Linked DNA regions of Bombyx mori. The protein of the gene in region 1 interacts with the protein of each later gene in a biochemical or structural test. Links are inferred from orthologs where the notes say so. Each region holds a gene or a part of one and is shown on either strand. Other genes may lie near its edges.

Region 1 (3,835 bases):
AGCCCACGTGGTGATAAGTGGCTAATGCCATCTTGAGACATGAGTTCAGTTTCTGTTCGGTCTCAGTTTGTACAGTGCAACGGCTGCCTCAGTTTTGAAACCGAAACGCATTACTGCATCACGGTAGAAATAGGCAGGGCGGTGGTGGTACCCACCCGTGCGGACTCACGAGACTTCCTACCACTATTAATTGGGCGAATTATTATTTTTCTGGTTTGATTTTTACTATATTCATTCACCGTGAAAGTTCACCGTGAACAATGTTAAATTATACCATGTGCGTGAAATGAAACGATTTTTGTAGCTTGAGGCCTGTATTTATTTATATTCCAATCAAAATCAATAGCTTACGTTATTTGCGAAGATGTCATATTATGTATGTTAATTTTAAGGAACCAGACGATAATACTGTCTATGGGACACCGGGATACATGGATCCCACGTCATTCACGTCCAAGGTACGTATTGCATATATTAAAACATATCGTATTCATACGTAAGATCATAAATCCATAATAATAATATTATAAATGCGAAAGAGAGTTTGTTTGTTGTACACTTTGTCACTACTCAATCTATCATCGTGAATGCAAAAGTATGCAAAGTTTCATTACATTCCATGTACAGAAAAAGACAGAGGACCTTTCATCCAGTAAAAAATATATTATACTAGTAATAGTGCTATACTAGTAGTAAGGATAGATCTTACTACATTAATGTGAATGAAACCGCTTGTAAATACTAGTATTATACACGACTTCAAAATGTTTGCATCGTCATCCAACACGGATTCACTTTCGTTTTTTTTTAAATTAAAATACCTTTAACTGTGTAATCCTGTTGCTATGGAAATGAAAAAAAAATGTGTAACAAATAAAATGCACATTTGTGTCTATTATAAAAATACGTACGTACAGGGTGTATTGGAAAGACGAAGACGAGAACAAGATTAATTATTCCGGCACTAGACCACCAAAAAGTATTTATTGCCTTAGTGTTGGACCAAGGTATAACTAGCGTAATGACAGCTACGACTATCATAATGGATTTTTCGTTGCAAGTTTCGAAGCGTTTCAAAATCCCTTCGTTTCTGTGTTTGTTAGGCAACGAAAAGTCATTTTTTTTTGAGCCCTGGACCGAACCTCAGATTACGAAGCAGACAGACTTTGAAAATATAATTCTATATTTTATAAATATAATTAGAATTTATTGCCAGGCATACATAATCTTTCAAATGGACGGTTTTATAAAATGGCATTTCATAGCTAAAAACTTATTATAATAAAACTCGACCTAAATGGAAAATTGAAAAAAAAAAAAAAACTTTATTTTGGGCATCAAGGTCACGATTTAACGCCAAAAAAATAATAACATTATTGTGTGTAAATTATTCAAGTTAATCCGTCTTCTATAGTTAGATACATGTCAAGCTAACAAAAACGTCATTAAATGCTTTTTTCGTTGTACGTAATTTAACATAAAATATGCTGAAATCGGTATCGATGTTTTTGAGACAACACGGAAGTATGCCCAATAGTTGTCTTCGTTTCAACGTCAAGGGCTTGTGCTTGGTTTGGTTTTGAGATTGATCCTCTAATTTGATACACTATAAAATAATTTTAAAATAAAGAAAAGGCTATTTTTCATTTCATATGTAGCTTAGTAATTAGTACTAATAATTACTAGTAGTATTAGTATTAGAAAAAAAACTCGCTATATAAAGCTATGGGAGGAGAGATTTATGTCCTGCACTAAACGCCTGGCAGGCGATACGGATAGCTAAACAAGGATGGTACTAATAAAAACCTGTAATTAAAAATAATATATATTATATTAATCAATTAACTAACACCAAAATTATTTGCAGAACTGTAAATGAAAAATATATATCGGATTATATATACATATATAGGTGAGACTGTAAAAAACGCATTAGGCACAGATAACACTTTCTTCGTGACAAATAGAATATTATAGTAGTTCTTTTTTTAAATTCAAAATCCAACATTTTATCGATGTTTATTTTGTATTTTATATGCTTTATTAGCGTAAGCGTCTTAAGAATTAGTATACTTTTCGTTAAATGATTATTGCTATGTAATTGTTATTAGGTTAGTACTTATACGTAAAATTAAAAATTATCTAGCATGAAGTAGTTATTCTGTTATTTTAACGGCATACTATAATAACTTCTTTTACATAAAAACTTCTCCCTAACCTGTGCAGCGATATGTAATGTGGTATATATAGCTTTTCCTAAGAAGCTGGGTAGATAGTTAATCGATTATAATATGTCAATCGTTAATTTTTTTTTGTAGTGCATTTATTCTCTATTCTTGATTTTAAAACATAACTCGCTCGCTTTGTAATAAATAGTTGTGGAAAATGTAACGATCAACATGATTGTTTTGGTAATTTTAACATTTATTCGATCGTGTTTAATTTTTGTATTAAAAATATTTAAAAATTGAGCTCTGGCCTCACTTGGTTTTAAGTGGCTATCAAAACTCATAGAAATGACAACGTCAAAGTCGCTGCTCACCATAAGACACTGAAGAGATCTCCATTTTATTGTATAATGACCCATATGTAGATGCGATCCTTTCGACCGGAAAGCAGGTCAGGTTCGGAACCGGAATTGACAGGTGATATATATCTGTGCGGCTTTAAAATACTCCCTACCCCACGTAAAAGTATGTACTTCCAGTAGTGGGCATTTCAGGGTATCGTACTACGATCAAAGCAAAATTAACGGAACTCTACAACTCGTGTTAAAATTCCATTTTAAAGTTATAAATTTAATGTTTCTGCAAATTGATAGGTTAAATGTAAGACAGCACTCTTCGATGTAAAAATAAATATGAAACATTCATTTACATTGATAGCTCTTGCTGTCTACCGTCCCGACGAACGATACGCGAATACATAGAAGACGAACATACAAACATTAATTTATAATTTTCTAGCATTTTACCTGTAGATTTAAACTGGGTTTTAGGAGACCGCTTTGGAAAACGAAAATTATGTACCTACAAAGTTGTAAATTTTATGGAGCCCGGTATAAGTGCCGCGCTCTCGCCGCGCCCGGACGTTCGTTGATCCGAGCATCAGCTGTTTTTGATTTTGTGTTTCATTGCTGGTTTTTTTCAAAGAAAAGTGATGTATTTTTTTTATGAAACAATCGTTTCATTTAGCTGTACTAACATGATGGAGCGTAAACAATGCTAATAAAACGTTTTAAAAATATGATTTCTTTAATCAGGATCGATTTTTTTTTCCGTCCCGTCATCAAAGGTGTCATTAGTTAGTACTATCGCCTGTTTTCGTTTTCGGAAGCGATCTCCTAACACCCAGTATAATATTATGTATTATGATATGACGAAATACATTTTGCAACAAATTCAGATTTGTTTGCGTTACAGAATAATATGAAAACGATTTCAGGTGACCGTTAAAGCGCTTTACGATTATCGGGCTCGTCAAGATGACGAGTTGTCCTTCTGCAAGCACGCCATCATTACAAACGTCGACAAGCCGGACGAGGGCTGGTGGCGGGGCGACTACGGCGGCAAACGTCATCACTGGTTCCCGGCCAACTACGTGCTTGAGATTGAGGTTCCACACACACCCGACGTGACCGTTAGTATTCTTTTTGTATACAATACGCAGAGGATGTTACGGAACACAGGTACGAGAGCGGCCTGTTCGAACTTCTATCTATCCTCGACTAGTATCCTAGGCAGAAGCGAATTGATTATGATAATTTCATATAATATGACGTCAGTAATTTTTCAATGTATTTTGTATATATATTAGTTTTTTCATATTGTTCGTT
Region 2 (3,835 bases), on another chromosome or scaffold:
CTAGTCATTTATAAAAATAATGTTCAATGTGCTTAGTGCGAGTTTTTTAACGTTCTCGATGGCCTGATAGTTAACTCCAATTAGTATGCAGTTGGAACTGTTATATTATATGTACAGAGTACTGAACCCTAAAATGCTGATACCCTCAAACCGCTGACTAGACGGTTCGAGGTAGAGACTTTAAAGGAGACCGGAGAACAGTCAGTAGAGAGTGAACTGTCTTAGAGTACGGGTGCGGCTCTCGCGGTTACTCTGAGAATTACGTATATCATCCATATTGTATAAATAAAATAAAATAGTTCGAATCTTAAAAGTTTCCTTTTTTTAAAACGACCTCAGAGTAAATTCCCATAACAGAACGTTTGCCTACGTTTGCCGCTAGGGGCGCTGTTATAACTGCATACAAAAAGTTAACTTTTATGCTATCGAGAGCGTTAAAAAACTCGCACTAAGCACACAATAAAATTTTGTTTCATTTAATTTTATCCCAATCGATTAAATAGTCAAATCAATTAACTTCATCCTATTTTACTTCATATAACAGAATATTAGTATGTATTTTACAATTGAAGATTTTTATGAACTCGACACTGGCAACAATGGCGTCGCAAGAAGCCAATTGCCATACCTAAAAAAAAAAGGAGAAAAAGAAAAGATCCACGCACCTTTATCTTTATCCCATCCGATGTGAGAAACGTGCGTGAAGTTGTGAGGCATCCCGATGTCGGCTTTAGTCAATTTCCTTGTCGTTTTCCGTTTTCCGGAGCTCTTCAGTGTGTACGTACCTGGGCGATCATTACAAGTTATTACACATACTCTCTGATACATATTGTAGATGTTGCACTAAAATTCGCATGTCAAATAATGACAAAGCATACACGCTGCTTTTAACTTATGTAATAACTCATTATTTTTTTATTGCTTAGATGGTGGACCCAGCCCACCTGGCGTTGAGTGGTTACCGGAGCCCATAGACATCTACATCGTAAATGCGCCACCCACCTTGAGATATAAGTTCTAAGGTCTCAGTTATAGTTACAACGGCTGCCCCCCCCTTACACCGACACGCATTACTGCTTCACGGCAGAAATAGGCAGGGTGTTGGTAACTACCCGTGCGGACTCACAAGAGGTCCTATCACAAGTATAAAACCACCACTATGCTTAGCGAATAAATGATTTCTTTCTTTCTTTCTTAGAATGTCATAGAATGCCATTGATCTAACACAACACACAACATAGCAGCGAAAAAATCCCTTTACTTAGGTCGCCCTTTTCTTGGGGTCTTAGTCTTGGGATCTTCAGTGCGGTATCCCGGAGCACCAGAGGTACCGCCCGGGCGCCCGGGCGACGGGACGGGCCGTCGTCCGTCGGGCGTCCTAGTAGTGGCGCAGCGAGTCTAGTTGTAGTGTTGACCACGGGAACCACTCTGCCCGGGTTCTGAGCTCGAGTAAAGATCGGACATGCCGTGAGAGGGTGCAAAGGGAGTAGTTTGGTGGGTAGGACTTTAAAAACATCGTAGGCTCGCGATCTGTTCCCGAAATCTGCGTACCGTCAAGACCCACATACCCCGCGCGCCCCTTGGACGCGAAATGCGTGAAGATCGCCTCCCCCCGCCTCGCTAAAAAGTCGGCATTACTTTACATCAGATGATCATGAATATAGGAATATAATATTATAAGTAGTTTTCACCTGCTAAATTCGTTTTCGGTGGGAGTACGGGTGCAGGTTCCGGTTCCGGTGCCGGGAGCGGGGGTAGGACGCCATTTTGTCTCGGCTCCACCACGCTACTGGCCCGTGCCGCCGTTAAGGCACGTTGCCTCCTTTCTGAAAAATACGAATGGTTTTTTATACGTTATTTACATCCTGGCTTACGAAAGCAAACAACCAACAACACACGAGAACAATCACGGGTACTAAGTGGAAACTATTTCCTTCACATCTCTGAATTTTTACTTTTTCAAGCTTCTAAAACACTAAAATGTTATTTCTAGTCGCTATTCCGAAGATTACTCAAAATCTATATATATAAAAGAAAGTCGTGTTAGTTACACTATTTATAACTAAAGAACGGCTGAACTGATTTGGCTGAAAATTGGTGGGGAGGTAGCTTACAACCAGGACAAGGATACCTTTTATCACGTTTCCGTGGTACGTGACGTAAAACGTGGTATAACAAAACGCAACTGATATGGAATAACAAAACGCAACTGACAGCTAAACGTAATGTAGTCTATGGTTAATTATAGTAGAATTTTGAAGTTGACCGGTCGATGTGTTCGTTTCCAGTTTCTATTAGCTTATTGTGCTGAGACAAGTAATCATTAAGAAAGCCATACCGCGACCAACACGATCAAATCTTTCCCGACGAAGCCGTAATGCAACTAGTATTCGAAACATTGCGAGTGAAGCGACTAAAGAAGAAACAAGAAATAAAAATATAACAATAATAACTAAAATACATTAACAATAAAGAATCATTAAAATACTTGCTTTTTTAATTTACACTAATTATCCAAATAAAAAATTGACCTGATAAAATCAAGTCTGCTCATTTATTGCCTCTAAGACGGAACAAAGTTCGTCAGATCTGTCAAAGTCAAAGATAAATAAAATATAAGAAAACCTTATTTATTTGTATTGTGTGTGTGTTTTATGGCCTTCATATACAGGCGAGCTATCTTCTCTTATCATTTTATCGTCTCTGATGGACATTAGCATTATACAGCCAAGTCGCTACCTACGACTGAAGACTATTTTCGAGCTTGGTTTAGAGAAAGACATATCATAGCGCTCAGTTATAAGAGCCGAGCGTTCATTCCAGAACTACATGGTTTCATTTGTAAAGCTGCTCTTGAGTTGTTAGGTCTCCTCCGGAGGCGCTCGGGCGGAGTGTTAGAAAGTTTTTTACTGGTTGTAGGACCTCTTATGAGTCCGCGCGGGTAGGTACCACCGCCCTGCCTGTTTCTGCCGTGAAGCAGTAATGCGTTTCGGTCTGAAGGGTAGGGCAGCCGTTGTAGATGTCTATGGGCTCCAGTAACCACTTAACACCAGGTAGGCTGTGAGCTCGTCCACCCATCTAAGCAATAAAATAAATATTAAACAAAAACGGAAAAGCCTCCAGGCCACCAGTATACCTTCCTTCACAAAAAAAACCCGTTGCTACATCGCAAAACGCACTGTCGATGAACGCAGCAATTCCAAGTGGACGGTATGAACTCTTATTTCGGTGTCAGATGATGCAATTATAAAAGAGATGACGACATCATCTCAAACAATTCCTCGGTCGGAAATAAATACTTTTCTCTCTTCTACTACTTCTCCGTAAACAACTTCGGAAGGTACGTATTCATTGTAAAACTAGCAACGCCAAGTTCAAAGCGGGGTAGAGTCCATCTCTCCTATATCAAATTTGTTATTTAATAATTCACTTTTATTTTTATTTGCCCTTGTAGGCGGCGGACGAGCATACGGCCCGCCTGGTGGTGAGTGGTTACCGTCGCTCACGGACGGTAGAGCCAAACCGCTGCCTACCGAAGCCTCGACCATTTGATTCAATTATAGTATAATATTTTTACTTTAAATTGTGTTATAACATATCACCTGTATTGTGAGACAATGTATGACATGATACAAATATTACGAACGGTGTATTTACAAATAAATATAGACGTACTTAAATCCGACAAGTACAATGAGGAGTCTTTTAATAAACAATGCACGCACAACAATGACAAACGTGATATCGGTAAATGCGCTCGTCTTGTGACGTCACGTGCAGTGTGACCACACTAAACGAAGACCTGAGACAATAAGTTTTTTGGAACGAAGTTCCT

The links.
Region 2: the proteins of PLCg (region 1) and actin nucleation-promoting factor WASL form a complex in vitro, tested with the Homo sapiens proteins (2 studies listed by BioGRID). The link is inferred for Bombyx mori from reciprocal best matches to the Homo sapiens genes PLCG1 and WAS.

What each region holds. Positions count from the first base shown.
Region 1 is NC_085107.1:5,693,920-5,697,754, reverse strand, and holds part of PLCg (phospholipase C gamma), read left to right. Parts: intron 1-392; coding exon 393-458; intron 459-3,444; coding exon 3,445-3,639; intron 3,640-3,835. UniProt on the Homo sapiens protein: Mediates the production of the second messenger molecules diacylglycerol (DAG) and inositol 1,4,5-trisphosphate (IP3). Plays an important role in the regulation of intracellular signaling cascades.
Region 2 is NC_085121.1:15,502,661-15,506,495, reverse strand, and holds part of actin nucleation-promoting factor WASL, read right to left. Parts: intron 1,827-3,835; coding exon 1,692-1,826; intron 786-1,691; coding exon 666-785; intron 1-665. UniProt on the Homo sapiens protein: Effector protein for Rho-type GTPases that regulates actin filament reorganization via its interaction with the Arp2/3 complex. Important for efficient actin polymerization. Possible regulator of lymphocyte and platelet function.